4 linked regions of the Drosophila melanogaster genome follow. The protein of the gene in region 3 interacts with the protein of the main gene of each other region in a pairwise test. Each region holds a gene or a part of one and is shown on either strand. Other genes may lie near its edges.

What was found.
Region 1: the proteins of Act57B (region 3) and CG12206 interact in a two-hybrid assay, tested with the Drosophila melanogaster proteins (one large-scale study listed by BioGRID).
Region 2: the proteins of Act57B (region 3) and AstC-R1 interact in a two-hybrid assay, tested with the Drosophila melanogaster proteins (one large-scale study listed by BioGRID).
Region 4: the proteins of Act57B (region 3) and vir-1 interact in a two-hybrid assay, tested with the Drosophila melanogaster proteins (one large-scale study listed by BioGRID).

What each region holds. Positions count from the first base shown.
Region 1 is NC_004354.4:3,471,494-3,476,410, reverse strand, and holds the start of CG12206 (uncharacterized protein), read left to right. Parts: upstream 1-1,886; 5' UTR 1,887-2,270; intron 2,271-2,960; exon of another isoform or gene 2,961-3,039; 5' UTR 3,040-3,262; coding exon 3,263-4,537; intron 4,538-4,917.
Region 2 is NT_037436.4:18,558,564-18,563,290, reverse strand, and holds the start of AstC-R1 (allatostatin C receptor 1), read right to left. Parts: upstream 3,034-4,727; 5' UTR 2,587-3,033; intron 1-2,586.
Region 3 is NT_033778.4:20,942,168-20,946,984, forward strand, and holds Act57B (actin 57B), read left to right. Parts: upstream 1-1,853; 5' UTR 1,854-1,949; coding exon 1,950-1,989; intron 1,990-2,676; coding exon 2,677-3,767; 3' UTR 3,768-4,264; downstream 4,265-4,817. UniProt on the Drosophila melanogaster protein: Actins are highly conserved proteins that are involved in various types of cell motility and are ubiquitously expressed in all eukaryotic cells.
Region 4 is NT_033779.5:12,420,387-12,425,155, reverse strand, and holds the start of vir-1 (virus-induced RNA 1), read left to right. Parts: upstream 1-1,716; 5' UTR 1,717-1,833; intron 1,834-3,293; exon of another isoform or gene 3,294-3,326; 5' UTR 3,327-3,451; coding exon 3,452-3,515; intron 3,516-4,769. Other genes in the region: Fam92, read right to left, coding at 1-27, 79-218.

The sequences.
Region 1 (4,917 bases), on a different chromosome or scaffold from region 3:
TCACTTTTCAATTAGCCTACGACTCCTTTACAAATCCTGAATTCATAAAAACTTCTCCATTGATTAGTGAAGCTTGGCTAGTTTCTTTTCACTGACTAGAAGTAATACACAGTGAAAAAAAAATGGAATTAAATTGTTAAATGTAGATAAATAAGTTGTAAAACATATACAAATGTAACGAAAGGCGACAAAATTCTTTAAAAAATATTTTTTTTTCATTGGCAATCGATGGACAAGTGTCACTCCTTTCTCACAGTGCAGCAAAGTGTGTGAGTGTGTGTGCGCATGTGCAACGGTAATCTGAATTGGCCAACGCCTGCAGCAGCCCTTGTGACTTCAGCGGAGCGCAACAGGCGGAAACAAACTGGCCAAGTGACCGGCCATCGTGCTGGGCGGAGCGGTACCTCTACCACTGGGGGCGGTACGGGTGGCGGTGGCAAGCACAAACATACATAAGTACATACATACGTACATGCATACCATACATTAGTGGTCGTCATCGTTGGACGTCTCACTGCATCGAATTAGCGGTAAATTACAAGCTGCAGCGCCTGTTGCATGTGGCTGCTGCACTCGTACTTTCTGCATACTGCAAGTGCAGCTTTACATTCCGTTGATTGCACACACAAATTCGAGGCGTCTTTCTTTCGGTTTTTTTCTTTTTTTTTCTTTCCTTTGCATAAACACTTTGGTATTAAATATAATTAAAAGCTAAAATCCATTTGGCAATTGTTCAGCCGGAGCGACGAAGTCGCTTGATGGAAAGTTGTTGTTTATGCTTAAGTTGTACATATGTACATATTTCTAAGGCGGAAATTTCTGGGCGACAATGCGACCAATGCGTCCAAAGAGGAGGATTCGTTTGAAACTAGAATCAGCATGGGGTCAACTCGTTAGCTTTTTCAGCTTCAGAGATCCAGAAGTGCATATGTTTATTATATATATATATACATATATATATTTCTTGGTTCGAACTGAACCAATTTGATCGGCAAGCTGTTTTGATTGCCAGCGGAATCGGAATTCCTGCTCTCGTGTTGAAGTCTCAATCGCGTTATCGCCGCACCTGAGCCCCTAAAAACTGAAAACCAGTTTGAGGCCTTGCCACATTCCATTCAGCCATCCAATTGCCACTGCCCACTGTGCCCCGCGCACTCTCGATGTCCCACTGTGCAGCTGTGGCACCAAACAATTAACTTTGGCAACAAACGAGTACTGCGCCGCCAGCAACAGCAGCAGCAACAGCAGCGGCAGCAACAAGACCAGCAATAACAATAACAATAATAAAAGCGACGGACAAGTGCCGACGTCGACATGGGCAGCGACTGCGGCAGAGGCAGCGCCGTCGACAGCGGCTGCGCATGCGCACGTAAACAAATTCTCAGCGGCGCATATTTGTTGCCCGCTTTTTCCTTTGGGGTAAGTTGACTTTTGCACTCATCGTGCAACATGCAGGCTATGTCAAATAAATGCAACCTATTTCTATGCATTTAATAATAAATATAATATATTTTCAATATAATTGAAAAATAATTAAGCAAATGTGTAGCAAGTAAATATTATTAATTATTAGGGCAATACTTGAAATCTGACTTAATTGCGTACTTAATAAGCTAATAAATCTGCTGACAGTGTATTTAAACCATCGCCTTGAAGCTCTTTTATTTTTGTTTTAGGTAATTTCAGCGGCTGCTGCTTTTTTTTTGTGAGTTTCTTGAAAGCAAAAATTAAAAAAACCTCAACAACAACTGGCTTGAGAAAGAGTCGGCGAATGGGCGGCAGACAGAGAGGAAACTATGCGAAGAAGAAGAAGTGGTAAAAAAAAAAAAAAAAAAAAAACAATCCCTGGCGAAACACGCCAACCCAAAGCGACTTTGTTGCTGCGGCTTCAGTTGCCAGCGCGATTTTGAATGGATTGTACGCGCGGCGAGTTCTCAAAAGTCGTGTTTTCAAGCCGATATACATGTGCATATATATACATATATATTACATATAGTAACTGAAGAATCCCAACGAAAGATCAAAGATTGATAGTAAGCACAGCAACATGAAAATCTAAAGGAAAAAAACAGACTGCGTGCGTGTGTGCAATATATGAAAAAATATAGTCCAATAAAAAATCTCTGAATTTTTTGATTTTTTCGATTTTTTCAATTTTTGTTTTATTTTTGTGTGTGTGTTTGTTTGGTATGCTATCAAATGAAAATTGTGTGCAATAAGCGGCGAATGCAGGCCAGCAGCAGCAACAACAACAACAGCAATACCAACGGGTAAATATTTCCAAACAACAAACGAAAAAAAAAACACAAATACCAGGTTCAAGTGTAACCAGTTTCCAGATTCCAAAGAGAAAAAAAAAAATCGTAAAAAACCGCAGTCAAAAATGCCGCGGGCTGTGCGCGCCCAATATTTCAAGTTCCTCCTCAGCAATTTAAATGTAAATTCCGACTCGTTCTTAAGTTTGAAGAACATTCACTGTCGGAATCGAAAAAGTTGCTGCACTAATCGATACGGCTTGCTACATACATACATATGTAGCTACATTAATAACGAAATGATATCTGAAGTTGATTTCGTTACAATAACTATCTTTTGTTTATATTTAAATTGTTTCAATTAATTGCTTAGTTTACAAATATGTATAGAAAAGAAATGATTAGCTGCAAAAATTACAGGGTATTCAGAATTTTATATTCCTTTTGCTTACGACATTCTTTAGCCAGTTCTTTCTGCTTTTTGCGGTGTTTCGTGTTTATCATTATTATGATTATTATTATTTTTTTTTTTGTCTGGTTTCCCATCTGTATTTTTAGTATGCTGGTAAAGCCTTTAACATTTATTCAGCATCATCTTCAACTTAAATGTCAAGCTCGTGTGGCGGCGTCTAACACACTTGGAGAAATTGAAAATACCTATCTTGGTTAGCTTTGGGGTCATATTTAGACATTTTTTAGACTATTAGAATCTCAACGGCTCGTCAAAATTTCAGTCGAAAATAAATAAAACTTTATTTCATTGGCATAAATACATTTCTTGCAGAGGCAACTGCGGCAATTACTTCAATCGTATGCAGGCGGCATTCTAACTGTAAAGCACTTGGCAACGGTCAACGGCAGAGACAGAGGCAGAGGCAGAGGCAGCTGCAAGTGGAACGCACAGGAGCAACATCATTAGCCGGCACTTGATTGCATCAGCTTGGAGGCACGAGATCTAGGCACTGGATATCTGAAATCGGATATCGACAACCAGATGCTGCAGAACCATGGCGGCAATTACTAGCAATGTGTCGCGATTGGAGCCAATGCGCGGTATTTCCATAATCATTGAATCGCCAGAAGTGGCAACGGCAACACCACCACCAGCAACAACAACCGCAACTGCCGAAGCAGAAGCCGCAACAAAACAAGTAGCACCAACTGCCAAGAGCAACAGCAACACTGAAATGTCGCTCAAGTCACAGGCTGCTGGCATGTTGCTGGCATTTGGCGACACAGCAGCAACAGCCAAAGATAATTTGGAAACTAGTTACGACACTGCAGCAAAGTCGACAGCAGCACCAGAGACCAACAAAATCTATCCGCAGTTACTGTTGCGCATTGGCGGAGAAATTGCCGGTGCAACAGCATCAGCAGAAGCAGCAGCATCAGCAGCAACAGCAGCAGCAGCAACAGCAACATCACCGACCATAATCAGCTGCAATGGTGAAATTGCCGCCAGTCAAGCAGCAGCAACAGCAGCGGACACAGCGGCAACATTGCAACACAACAATACGGTGAAGATTCAAATCGAAAGCCAGGGTCAGCAGCGAACACTGGGCAAGCAGATAAGTGTGGTGAAGCTGAACGAGGGCGTGGAGGAGATGCAGCAGCACATGTGCTATTTGGTGGACACCAGTGGCCAGTACTCGCCCTGCGAGACCTTGGACAGTGGCACGGGCAGCGATCTGGAGAATCATCCGCAGCAGCAGCAGCAGCCGCAACAGGTGAGATCACCGCAACTGGAGCTTCATCTGCAGACCACGCGGCTGATGGTCAACGAGGAGGCGGACCATAAGCACAGCCCGCTGGAGACGCCGAGTCCCGTTCCGAAGCGAGCATATAGCCTCACCGATGACAGCGAGGAATGCGATGAGAGCAGCAACTCATCGCTAAGCTGCGATTCCCTGCACTCTGGTGGCCTGCTGCCCACTACCCTGCTGCGGGATATTCGATTCAGGGAACGAGCGTCCGGTCCTCTGGTCACCAAAATCAATGGCAGACCATTGCAATTCGAAACGGATGGCTATTACACATTCCATGTGCGCGAACACGAGAATTTCCGGAGTTTTGGTTCCAATTCCTCGACGGAATACGAAGCGCAGCACTTTACGGATGAGCAGCCGGGTGAGGATTTTGTTGGCTTTCGTGACATTCGAACGGCGGGCAAGCTCGCCGGCAATTCTACAATTAAATCCGCCAAGGGAACCGTACGGGGCGTCAAGAATCGTGTGCGCAATGGAGTAGCCACCTTCTTGCAACTGCAACAGCCCAATGTCAAGGTGAGATTTGCTAATAAGAGTAAGCAACGAAATCAGGTTGAATACTTTGTTTGAGATAGTCTTTTCCAATGAGAAAAACAGCGAAACAAAGCCCATTCAACAATAAAAAAAAGGCATGGAAAATGTGCAATGTATTCGTTGAATGGATACATTAAGCGAATTCATTAATTGCAATTGCAATTTAAGTGAACAATTTCAGCAATGAAAGTCATTGCATTCACCATTGGCACTCAAAATTTAAAAAAAAAAAAAAATGTAAGAATGTCAGAATGTCAATTCCGCCTTAAATCAAAATCAAATTATTTATCGAATTTAAAAATATTTTCAGTTTCGTTTGTATTAAATTAGCGCATGAGAAATTCGAATAAATATTTGAATAC
Region 2 (4,727 bases), on a different chromosome or scaffold from region 3:
TAAATTTGTATTTTTGAGGGACTTTTTTGGATATTTTTTCGTTCTGATTAAGGAAAGAAAGTGAATTTTGTTTTGGGAAAGCATGAAGGATTGGGATATTAACAACGGTCTAATATTTCAGAACGGTTTCCCCTTTAAGTGAAGTTTGTGGGAATCCCTTGTGCGTTGACTAATTTCCGAGGAATTTCTGTGCATCCTTGGCCATCAATTTGTTGTCAGCAGCTGAGGAGGCGCCACATCAGCATCTCTGGCACTTGTTCCGCCATTTGAATCCGGTGCTCATCCTCTCCCAGTTGGCTGGTCCCTTCTCCTACTCTTTCCCCTTCCCTTTCCCTTGCCAGTGTCCTTGTTCTTGGCTAAGTCGGATCCTTTGAGTTGGGAGGAAATGCTATCATTTGGTGCCTGTCATCGTTGTGTTCGTTGTTGCTGCTGTCTGTTTGCCTGACGCCGACGAAAGGTTAAGGCATGCATCGCTTCCATCAAATTAGACGCATTTTCGACGCGCTTTGTCTGCCAGGCCCTCTCTATCTAGCTCAGTCGTCCGTCTCTTTCTCCCCAACTATGTCTGTCTCTCTCTTCCACACTTTTCCCTACACTTCCTTTACCCACTTTGGCAATTTTCTAGCTGACGCCGCTTTGCCTTTACGTTTTATCACTTCATTTGCACTGAAATGTCAATGTCTGGCTCGTTCCTTTCCCTTCCTTTTTCAATACCTTTGCACAGACTGTTCCCATTTTCACTTATTCAATGGGTTTTAATAAAAGTCCGGGGTGTTTTATACATTTTTTCTTATCTTAACCACATTTTTGCCAAATGCTACTTGGTATCAGAAACATTGACAAAATATGTCACCAATGGTGCAAACCTATAATGAAAGACTACAATTTTTAATGTCTATTCTGTTAAGATCCTTGATTTAAAATTATAAAATAAAACGGATTTAAAAGTGTACAATTTATAGTTTCAAGCTAAAAAATTGCATACTATATCAACTTGATTATAATTCATTTTTAAATGCAAAAGTAAAAGCAAATTAAAACACTTCCGATTTTATGTATGTAATGTATAAACTCACGAACAAAGATTTGTAAATTATATAATTAAAGGGAATATCTGATTTGTAAGAGCAATCCCAGCCTCGTCGGACGCCCAGTTCAGTTTCAAAGAGCATGGCCAAAAAAGTCAGGAAGGAAGCAGTTTTGTTGCAATGACGTGGGCGGTATTTTTTGTGGGTGGGCAATTGCTGAGTGTGGGTGTGTAGGAAGCATTGGATTGGATTGGATGGGAGGGGTTGTGTCCTGGCGCTAAAAGAAATCTGTCTGACAAATTACACGCCCCGAGTTGCAGAGTCGCAGCAGCAGCTGCTGAAACGCTTCGTTTGCTCCTCCTCCGTGACTTGCTCCTTCACTTTCGCCTGCTGTTTGCGTTGTCTTCCCGTGCTGCTTCTAGCTCCACATTCGGACTCAGGCCATCAAACCGATTGACTGAAGGATTGGGCCAGGGCACGTCATTCACTCAGTTAGTCCGTTAGTCAGCGAGTGCAACGGCCTTTTGATTGGGCTTTATGGTCATGGGGTGGCAGTGGCTATCTCCGCCTCCTTGTGCCTTTTAGTTGGTCTTGCGGGGAGGGGGTGTTCGGTTTTAGTGGACTTTACTTAGCTGGATGAGCTCATTCGCCGGGTTATCTGGTGTGAAGGGGGAACTACGGAGGCTAAAGGAACTTGAGTTTCATAGCTGAACAACATAGAGGGCTTCTATAAAAATTGTAAGTAGCTCATAGCTTTGGTTCTGAACCACTTGGTTAACTTTCTCATAATAAAATGGGAATTACTTACAATTAAATCAAGTTTACAAAATTCCACACCCCTAGGAGTAATGAGCCAATAACAAATAATTTCTGCTGCACTTTAATATGTATGCAGGATATTTATTAAGAAAATTACTTGTGGCCTTGGCATTTCTTTTCTTAAATTGGCATTTTTATTCTGCACATCTCACATAACGAATTAATCAACATGTCTCCGTAACAATTTCTGCATTTATTCTCAGCATAGCACTTCTCTGAATAACATTTACGACCATTCCAGCATTCCCTAATTTGTCAAATTTTGTTTCGTTTCCCCAAAATCCTTTCTGGTTTACTGCGGCTGCCGTCGATGGTCAGCCCTTCTCAGTTTCCACATCATCGGGCATCCTCGTTCCTCAACCCATCCCATCGCCTCGTAGGAAGACCAACCTCTTTCCCTCAACGCAAGACATTCAACAGTTACAAATTGCTATTCGCACAGAATTTCAGTTATCTGATAAATTTCAACGCACACAAACATTTGAACGTTGAAAATGGAAAACCCAAGCACAGAGCGAAAGTATTGCAAACCCTTCAAGTTAAACTATATTTATATTTAATTTAAGTTCAAAAACTAGAATTAGGATTATATTTATATGTAGATGAGGAGAGCTTATTTTTTATTTACTATATAGTACATACATATTTCTAATCACATTGGAGATAGATAGCACCCAATCGTTTTAGATGTGCACACAAGGCAACCCGTTCGATGCTCCTCGAGGCACATTTTGCTTACCACTTGAATATATTGTGTCATCTAGCCACTCATCCTTTCGAATCCGATAAAATGGCACACCACGCACTTTTCGGGGTTTTCAAAATATTTGGCAAGCGTTTCTGCAATTCCTCGGATTGCGACGCTAATGTTATTTTTCACTCTACGTCGGATTTATTTGTGATTCGACGGCGGCTGGTAGTAAAATTATTTGTTTATTTTCCTTGCGTTTTTGGCCGCTAATTTGGATTGGATGCAGGCAGCAGGAAAAGCCCCCGGGGGTTATCTATCACCCGCCCAACTTTTTCGCCACTCTCACCCTATTTGGTTTGAGTTTTTCGCGCACGTTCATCGAATTTGGTCTTTGGCGCTGGCGAAGTTTTTGTTTACTTTACCCTGGGTTTGCTCGTAGTTTGGTTTTATATTATTATTTTAGATTCAGATACAGTGACTGAACTGCACGTTCCGGTGTTGTTTTGCATACTGCGCGCCGCATTTGCCGGCGAATTTTGTTATGGTGCATGCGAGTTTTCCGATGCGAATTTTCCGATGCGAGTTTTCCGACTGCAGAGTCGCTCGGATCCACAATTGCGCTCGGTGCTCGGCTTTCAGGTTCGTCGCCCGATTGGCCTGATGCCTGATGCGTGTTGCGGTCTGCTGCCGTTTTCCCAGCTGCAATTTTCCTCAATTAACAGTTGGTCGGGAGAGCACGCGGTGAGGGAGACTCTCCCGCCGACACTTTCTCTCTTATACGAACTCTCACTTTCGTTGGCCAACAACAGTCGAATGTTAGCGCTTGCAGTTCTGTTGCCATTTTGGGCAAGTGCTTGTTGATTCTACTGGTGCCATTTAGAAGGATATAAGAACAAGGATTATCAAAGTATAATATTGAGATGTGTTGTCGCTATAGGTTAATCAAAACTACTTCCATGTGTTATCTATCTCATGCTAAAACAAGAAATTTTAAAAAGTTTTACCTTCCTTTGGTATCATGCTGTTATAAAAATTATTTCCAGTTATTTTGGACCTAAATTTAATTACTCTAAATTTAACATATATTAGCGAGCATATACCCTTATTTTATCAGATTTATAATTCCTTATAATTAAAATGTTCAAAATCGTTTATGGGATGGCTTACCGGCCGTATACGTAATGTGTTATTTATACTTTTACCAAATTCCAATAACACAAATGTGTTTGCATAACATATTATTTTCGGCACAATTGTTTCGTAGTTCAGGTATGGCACTGCATTTAAAATTATATCGGTATTGGGACAGTCAATGTTATAATTATAGTTGCAAATGTACGTGTATTAGCTTGAATTCGGAAAGGCTTTGATTGCTGATTGATTATTCTAGCCTTAATTGCATGCATTTTGCATACAGTTGTTTGCAATAATTGAAATCAGTAATGACATGGAAAGGAGGACAAGAAATGCATGCTCTCACAATTTACTTAGGATATGATATAGCAAGACTGTGCTATATCATATATATATTCTTAAAAACATTAAAAATATGTTCTTGCCTCGTTACCAAACATCACACTCGATATAAATCATTCATACATATTTTTTCCAAAGTTTACAAAGTTAGTTTGCAAATTTATCAGATATTTAAATTAAGTTTGGAAAGTGATTGCGTTTCAGATACCAATCTTTAGTTTCCTCCTACATTTTTTGGGTAAATAAATCATATCTCAGCACTGCCACCGTCTCAGAGCTCCAACTTAAGAAGCCCCAGGCGTCGAAATCTAATTGCCGTGCACTTGGAAAACTATCCACCTGGCCCAAACCCGGAGTTATCTCCCTTGCTCTGTTGGTCATTAGAAGAACAGGAAATTTTCCGTTTTTGTTCGCACCCAACTTGGAAAGAAATTTGCTGCAATAATTTCCATGTGGAGCCAGTTGATGTTTTCGTTTAGAAAAAAGTTCGACTTGGTTAGATGACAGTGAAAAAAAAGCTGGCAAACATATGGTAAGAGTTGGGGGATATCTAGAAGAAACTTTGGAAAGAGAGTGACACAGAAAATATGGCAACTGTCGACGTTCTTCGGAGTCAAACTTTAGTTTGGCCTTTTGAGCAAAACTTTTAATCCTTCTGGTTGAATTTCCGACAGTTTGCTTTAATCCTTTTCCGTTGGCACTGAAAAGTGCTT
Region 3 (4,817 bases):
AAGTTTTTTGAAAAAACGTGGGATTTTAAACATTTTGAAGATTCAAAATGAAAACATGCTGTTAAGTAGAATCATACCTTAAATAATTTATGCTCATCTTATTTAAACCTAATAAATATTTAATACTTAAATGTATTTTCCGGAATAAAAAATAATTAGAAAATTAGAAAAAAAATATTATTGAAAAATATAGAAAATATACAATTGTTGTAGGCATATCACTAAAAACTATTATTTTTATACTTATTATTAAAGTTATTATATTATATTATTATTATTATTATTATACCTATTAAAAAGCAATTATTATAAATTTGCAATAAGTATTATAGTAATCAGTAAGGCGACAATCATAAAATAAAAATATGCCCTACTTGTCTCTCTGGCAACTCTGGAGGAATACCTTGCTTGTTGTCATTTGATCTATATTTAGAACCGTCTAAAATTAGTTCGAAAATAATCCTATTCGAACTAGACCGATTCTTTTGATAGATTAATTTTTGCAATTTAGGTTAAGGGATTAGTCATTCTTCCTCGGGAAGCTGGAACTCAACCTTATTGGTGTTATGTATCCAAAGATACATATATGTACGTGCGAAAATACACGTTTTATAGAATGAATATGCATGGGGCCCCAAATCTAATTTAGCGACATCCATTTGTTTTTCCATGTAGTATAGCAACCGAACCGCGCCACAAATACATACATCTGTATCCAAGTATTTGAATACAGCGAGAATTGGGTAAAATGTGTGGAGGAGGAGAGTGTGGAGGATCCACAGCAACGATTGGCCTCACCGGATTGTGCCATAAAACGTAAACATGCCCCACTTAGTTGCAGCCCAAAAATAGATTGCACCGAACCCAATTTAAATGGGTACCCTGCAAAGCCGGCATGTAACGGTTAAGCTCCCCCCTCCCATCCCCCTTACTAACATCTTACAGCCCGATTTGTAAATAAACAATTAGTTGAATATAATGCTCATTGCACGAGGGGCGTAGACATGGGCGTGGGCGTGGATCTTGGGCGAGAGCGCAATGAGAAATATGACCAAAATTAGAAACGAAAGGCATGAAGGTGCAAAGGCTGGGAAATGATAGAGATGCGATTTGACTAAGGCTGTGCGTTTGTGTGTGTGTACATATCGAAAATAGAAAATGAATTTATTACGACATGAGAAAAACACGAAAGTTATGAAAACAACGAGCCGTACGAGAAAATAGAAGCCAGCAACAAAGCGAATATATCCACCCACCCAATCCCCCACCGTAACGAACCGACCCAAAAAGTATCCAAACCGAACCGAAACATATAGCAAATATAGCAGATATAGCAGATATAGCCGATATGGCCGATATAGTGGGAGAACAGGAGAGAGAGAGAGAGCGACTCGCTGAGAATGAGCAAACGAGTGTGAGTGTGCTGGAGGCGCCTCCTTGCCTTATACGGCACTTTTTGAGACTGCAAACGATCGTGAGCAGGCAGCCGATCGTGCCCGATCCCAACCGATACGATCTCCACGCTCGATCACGCCGAACTATACTGCGCTATATGCTATATGGTATTCCTATACGTATAGCATGCCATACCATATTGTGCCTCTCGCTCGTTCGCCTTATGTTTTCCAAAGAGCCCCCTATGCTGAAGGATCTATTTTTAGGCGGATCGGCCGGTGGGCAGCATTATCGCATCCATGAGCATATTTCCTCGCTGTGTGTATTCGTTTGAGTATTTCTTTTGCCATTGGTATGGGGGCGTGGCGGGGGCGGTGGCGGCGGGGGGCATGGCGACGGCGCTTCTTGGACGAGATGGCATTTCGGCGGCGGTATAAAATCCGAGTACCAACGCGGCGATACTTTAGTCAGTCAGTTGTGTTCCAAGCCGTACACACCGTAACTCTTGATTTAATTCACCCGTGGTGCCGTAAAAAAAACAAAACTAAAACAAAATGTGTGACGATGAAGTTGCTGCTCTGGTCGTTGACAATGGTGCGTATTCCCCATCGAACGGATTATCGTCTTGGCTTTTGCTAAAAGAGAAAAAAAAGAAAGAGAAATAGACAAAGGACCCAACAGCGAAAGGATATTCCCGCATCTAGTGCTAAAGTGATCGCAAAGTGAACGATTTTCGAGTTGTGATTAACTCACGCATCCTTCGGGACACAAGCAATTAGAAATTTGAATATAACAAAAAAAATATTCCAATGCCTTGGATGATTTCGAGAAATATATATTTTAAATATTAGTTATTGAGCAATATTTTCAATTCAAGTCAAAGAATCATAAATATTCAGATAAAGAAAAGCTAAAATATTATATTTTGCACAGAATCAAAACCGATTTGCATAAGTTTTATAAAGATTTTTTGTGCCCGAATCACTTTCATAAGTTTTGATGCTTGAAAGCTTTTCAAGAGATCATGATATTAGAGAAGAGGAATATTTCAGAAATCATATATCTTCAGATATTTCTCTATACGAGAGAAGAAGACAGATCACATATTTTCATGAGAGAATTTTTCTCTCCGCCCCAAACTTTTCCAGTTTTTTCGACTTAGTCGCCAGACTTTTTCACGCTGTCCGTTAGAGCAAATGTTAGACTCCCAGTGTGGGAAACCCCACATGAAGCACTCGAGCGCCCACTAATGGACCCCTGTTCGATTGTGTTATCCTGCAGGCTCCGGCATGTGCAAGGCCGGTTTCGCCGGTGATGACGCTCCCCGTGCCGTCTTCCCCTCCATCGTCGGTCGTCCACGCCACCAGGGTGTGATGGTCGGTATGGGCCAGAAGGACTCGTACGTCGGTGATGAGGCCCAGTCCAAGCGTGGTATCCTCACCCTGAAATACCCCATCGAGCACGGTATCATCACCAACTGGGATGATATGGAGAAGATCTGGCACCACACCTTCTACAACGAGCTGCGTGTTGCCCCCGAGGAGCACCCCGTCCTGCTGACTGAGGCCCCCCTGAACCCCAAGGCTAACCGCGAGAAGATGACCCAGATCATGTTTGAGACCTTCAACTCGCCCGCCATGTACGTCGCCATCCAGGCCGTGCTCTCCCTGTACGCCTCCGGTCGTACCACCGGTATCGTTCTGGACTCCGGTGATGGTGTCTCCCACACCGTCCCCATCTATGAGGGTTATGCTCTGCCCCATGCCATCCTCCGTCTGGATCTGGCTGGTCGCGATTTGACCGACTACCTGATGAAGATCCTGACCGAGCGCGGCTACTCTTTCACCACCACCGCTGAGCGTGAAATTGTCCGTGACATCAAGGAGAAGTTGTGCTATGTTGCCCTGGACTTCGAGCAGGAGATGGCCACCGCCGCCGCCTCCACCTCCCTGGAGAAGTCGTACGAGCTTCCCGACGGACAGGTGATCACCATCGGCAACGAGCGTTTCCGTTGCCCCGAGTCCCTGTTCCAGCCTTCCTTCCTGGGAATGGAATCCTGCGGCATCCACGAGACCGTCTACAACTCCATCATGAAGTGCGATGTGGATATCCGTAAGGACCTGTACGCCAACATCGTCATGTCCGGTGGCACCACCATGTACCCCGGTATTGCCGATCGTATGCAGAAGGAGATCACCTCCCTGGCCCCATCCACCATCAAGATCAAGATCATTGCTCCCCCAGAGCGCAAATACTCCGTCTGGATCGGTGGCTCCATCCTGGCCTCTCTGTCCACCTTCCAGCAGATGTGGATCTCCAAGGAGGAGTACGACGAGTCCGGCCCTGGCATCGTCCACCGCAAGTGCTTCTAAGCAGTTGCAGTTGCCTAGCACCAACACTAGCACCACCCGGTCTACTCACCTGTCTCCTGCTCATCTGGTCCTGCTATTTGTGGTGGTTCTGGGTGTGTGGGCGGCTGGTGCTCCACCGGCAAAAACAACAAACACCACCACCATCCAACCATTTGTTTTTGAATGTCATTATTTACCAACGTGTCATCCTTGGTTCGAGAATACTCTTTTGTACTGACTGAACACAACACCATCAATCAAAATGAATTGTCAATCTAATGCCACGGACCGCGATCCCCATCCACTTGTTAATCGCTCGCGGTTTCCTTAAATGTTGATCGCCATTTGATTGTTTTACGAATGAACCGACACCCTCATGTATTTTGTACAGAACCTAACAACTTCCCCGATAGAGCGGATGGGGTCTATTGACTACGAAATGTAAAATAATCTCATGATTGTAATATTAATTAAAACAATTTATAATTATTTATAAATAAAAACGATTTTTTAGATTTAATTTTTTCTAAAAACATAGAGATTTTGGAAAAAATTGGGGGGGGGCATCTAGCCGGGAAAGCAAATCCTAGCCGAAGCTTTCCATCGATCAGTAGTTCAAGATACATACAATATATATGTACATTTATGGATCTATGTGTGATGTGTGAGCTTTTTTCACCTCCAGACGCGACGGTGCGTTTCAAATTTCCCGAATACCATACCGTAAAGCTTTCTATTCCCAAAATATTTCTGGTTTCGAAACGATTTTCGAATATTTTTAGACGCATTCCAAAATGGGTGAGGCGGCGGACAGGCGAGCGATTTTTTGTTTGTTTATGCCATGAGGAAATACGATCGGAGATGACGCAAGTCGGATGGATGATCAAAGGCGGCGGCCAAAACAAATTGCCAATGTCAATTTGTTGCCGCTCTCGGCAAACTGATTACCAGAAATGCATTTCACTTTGAGGAATAATGGATGGAATATATACATATATAGTGTATGGTGGCAATGCCAGAGACAAATGTTCTCGCCGAGATTGCCAAGACAATTAGTCAAAATGGCGTTGG
Region 4 (4,769 bases), on a different chromosome or scaffold from region 3:
GCCAACTCATCAAAGGAGTCCCGATATCTGCAAGGTCTTATGATTATTCATTCAGATTTATTTATTTACCAAACTCACTTGGCCATTTTCCGCGTTACCAAAGCAAACGAAGAGCACATCTCCATTAGATGCCTTTCTGTTATGTTTATGCGCTCGTTTATTATTTTAACACGGTCATCTTTGGTGTTTAGAAAGGATAGTTTTCCACGACGAAACATTATTATTTTATTTTAGTCCCTTATATTTGTTTTCCTTCTTTATTTATTTTATTTCGACAATAAAATCAAGTGAAAACCGTTACCAAGGCAACGTCTAAATTCATCTGGCAACTCTCGTTCGAACAGCCAGCATATTTCCAGCTCTGTAAAATTAACAGAAATGTTAAGAACCTACTGCTGCCAGGTGGCGCTAGTATCAGCGTCTTCTGCAAGTACATAGATGGCGCAAGAATAAAGTTTATCAAGGAAATTTAAAACATTCTAAAAATATTCAATCCTAAAATAAATATCTGAATATGGGTACTTCATTTTTTTCCAACAGTGTCAAGGTCAAGAGCACGTTTCGTTATAATCTGTGAGTGTTTCTGTCTGTCATCCGGTGTCTAAATTTAAATTCGAAAGATTTATGACTAATTAAGAGACTGCAAATGATAAAGAAAAATATATATAATTAGTATATATAAAAAAATAGAAAATATACTACGATATTTACCTGAAGATCATAGCATTGTAAATAGTTTATTTAAAAACAAGTCAATCTGATATTTTAAAATATCGTTGGTCCTAAAAGCCAAGCTTTACTCACTTAAATATATGTAGGACTAAGCTGACTCAAATTCTTCTCACTTCGAAGCCTTGACAACCAAATCTTGTTTTTTGGGGAATTTATTGACTCGACCGCAAGAATGTTGTGTCAACGATTAACCGAAAATGGTAATTTATTTTAAATGCTCCTCTGCCACTTAAAGGCATAGTGCAATCAAACCTGTATTTAGTAAAACGAAAATAGCAGTTCGAATAAAACCAACGAAAGTGTAGTTAAAACAGAATCCGGTTCGTGGGACCACGACAAGAATTACAAGTTGTAGAGCATGAAGAGCAGCCTGCAGGAGATTTTAACAGCTGTAGCTGCGCCGATCGCGATTTCAATCTGGTCGAAAACCATAAAGCAACACGGCTCCCAAGAGGCAAGTTCAGGTAAAAGGGGGCAGGTGGACTTCATTGTCAATCCAAGAACGTAGCTTGGCGCGCGTTCCTTGTCGCTAACTATATCCCCGCCTCTTTCTCGGCGCTGTCGGCCATCCGCTTTGAATTTCTGATTTTTATACATACACCTCGAACTCCAACGGTTTTGGTCAAGGGACTGCACTGGAGGACATTCGCGTTCCGCTGGCGACATTCATTTTTGCTCCCACTGACGTGTCAATGAATATTCTTTTTGTAAAATTTCTGCTACTTTTTGGGTAAACAGGATGGGGCATCTTTGGTAGTGGATCTGTTGTAAAAATATAAAATTGAAAGTTCTTTAGTTATTTTTCTTTTTTTTTTTTAATTAAAACATTGTTGAATGCACATTTGGAGCACTCGGAAGACCCTTCTTCGCTCTCGTATTCTTCTCTGCGCATTCCTCCCTTTCCCGGTCTCTCTTCTCAATTCTTTGTTTTTTTTTGAGTGCCAACGACGTGAGCTGGTATAAATGAAGCCAAAATCGTACGCAACCGTTTAGTCCGAAACGTTTCATTAAAGCCAACGCACGTTGAAGATCGCGCGTTCTTCTCCGATCTTTCGAAATCGAGTGATTCAAGCGATCCACAGAAATAACTGTATGACACCGGTAACAATAATAAAATTTATGCAAATTCGCGGTTGTCGGCATGTGTATGTGAATGAAATTGTGTGCGTGAACAATTTCCGCTTCGGCGCTGACAAAAATGTTTACAAACAAACAATTTGCAGCTTGTTTAGGCTGTCTGGGCAATAATTTGGATGCCTAATTTACTTCACGCAGCTGTTTGCGAAATATTTACTTGTGCTCACTTTTATGCTGAGCCCAACATAAACAATAGCTTTCTAAAACTATCAGACATTAAAAATGCTATTTAAAGTTTATAGTTGCTAATTTTGAAGACCTTGAAAAATTTACTGTCGGGCAAGATATTTAAATAATTTTCTGATGTGCAAAAATTCCAGTTCATTTTGAGATTATAATACATTCTAGATTTAAATCAGTGTATAATTATACAAATTCTTTACGGCTTTTTATATTTATCAGAACTGTAATTGGGTGTTATATCGTAAGTTCTCTCGGGTCAAAAAGATCATTCATAATCGGATTAACTAAAGATTTCCAATAAATTGCCGATCTTTGGCATATTCGTTAGTAAAATCGTGATTAAACCCGGCTCAATCAAGGCGTGACTACTTTATCGATGGAATTAAAAAGAAGCACTCTATCATAACCATTTAATTACTGAGAATAGTCTTTAGCTCCGTTTTCATTTCCTTGGAAGAAAATTCTCAATAGCTGCCCATTAGGGAAATAAGCAAATGATGCTTTTGTTTACAGAAACAACAACCTTGAACTAAACACCAAGCGCATTTAACAGGTGATTCGAGCAGCCGTTGAATAGACATAGTTCCATACAATGCAATCGAAGTGGAATTGAAATACGAATGGGGCGACTGAAACATTCAGCAACTGTGACAGGGACACATTTAAAGTCTGAAATACAAATATAGTGGAATAGAGAAGCCCGCGTGCAGCTAACGAAGCATAGACAAAAACTGATTAAGTAAATTGAAAACACAACTAAATTTACAAAAGGTTCAATGAGCAACGGCGACTTTCAAACACCCTTTTAATCGAAATTTTAAAATATTAGTAGCAAATGCCCTTTTAGAACTGCTTTTATATATATATAATTATAAAGATAAAGTTATATTATATTATATTTTTTATAGTAGTAGATACAATAGTTAATGAACCAGTAAGCTATAACGGAAACAAAAAGGTGTAACGAAAATAAAAGTTAACTTAAATGTGCCTAAGAACATTACTAATACGCTGCATTCTGTACACAGTGGAGTCCCCAAATATTGTACCCAGTTGACGGGCACAGTGTAGCGCTCTTCCCACAACACTTGCCGCCTGCCATTTGGAATATTTATAAGCCCAGCGGCTAATTGAGTGAGAGGGAGAGCAAGAGAGCGGTCAGCTAGTCACTCACTCGGTTTCTCACTCGCTCACTCACTCAGCCGGCCGCCGTTTATTTGCCGCTTCCTCAAATCATTTAAGCGCATTTGACGATTGTTTGTCTTTCCGCACAGAACAAAACTGAACAGAATCGAATCCGGTTGCCGGTCCACATCAACGCATCAAAGCTTTCAGCCCTAAATAAACTATACAAATTAAACAAATTATAAGCTTGTGAAAAAAAAAAAACCAAACAAAAATGAAGCTCTTGTTCGGTTTGCTGATGACCGTGCTAGCCCTTAGCGGCGTTTTCACATTGCCAGGTAAGTGAAAGGCTTAAAAGCAATCCAATCATGATGCACTTCATAAATTAACATTTAAATGATTAATACTTGAAAACTAAATGTTAACTTGCCCTAAGTAATACGTATAACGGAACTAACTAATATGCAATTTGTACACATATGCAACATACATATTTGTTTTCCTTCTCTTTACTTTCTCATTTTTATGTGCACATAATTAGTTATTAAAAAACACAGTCAACCTTTTGACTTTAAAAACAAAGAAAATTGATAAGCACCGGGAATTCTGATTTGCACTCTTCTACGTAGTACGTTCCTCTTATACCTTCTTGATCTGGAATATTCTGGTAGAATCTTAAAGATTACCTCGATGTAATTGTGACTTGGAGCAATATAAATAAATTATTATGCATATAATACGTAATTATTAGTAAATACAATCTGTTGGATATGAAAAAATGTTTTAATTCCACTCTGCAGCAGATTAAAGTTTAAAGTCGCTGCCTTTGCCGGATAATGATGTCAGCATGCTGATAACAAAGCGTGGCACTTGACAATCAGCCAAATGCATCTTACAGATACAACACAAGTAACTACAAATGGCAAAATATCAGGAATGCTCGGCGCAGCATCGCAGATCCAGCGTCCTTTATTGTCATCATCAGCGTTTGCTGTTCGCTGCCTTTGGCTGCCACTTGAATGCATAAATTGCTGAAGAAGCTGCCAGCGAATCGCAGATACCCCCACAGATGGGCGGAATGGTGGGAGTGGGCGTGGCAGCGGGTTGGCAGCTGCCACAGCCACTTGAAGTTGTCAAATTCGTTGCTGTCCAAATCATTTGCCAGGAATATACAAATTTTATGCAACACTCGTGAATCACAATTTTTCGGCAAATCTTGCTTGAGAATCATCTTAGCAATGAGTGCTTGAAATTGCAATGAAATATTTCGTAAATTGATGAGACAATGTTTTTTATTACATATTTCAAAATACACATAGTAGCTACTCTAACTACTGTGCATATAAGTCAGATTAGTACTGTTTAAACATTTGTTTTCTCTATTTAATTATTAATGATTTGCGATCTGAACATGCTGAGAATAGAATCATATCCAATTAAAATAATTTACGTAACCAATTAAATCACGATAATTGTGGATATACTGGATTTATCTGCAGGCTAATCTATTCTGGATTATATATTTCAAATTTAAATTAATATTGTTACATTCTTCAACAAACTCGGAATCGGTTGAATGAACTGTCATATTA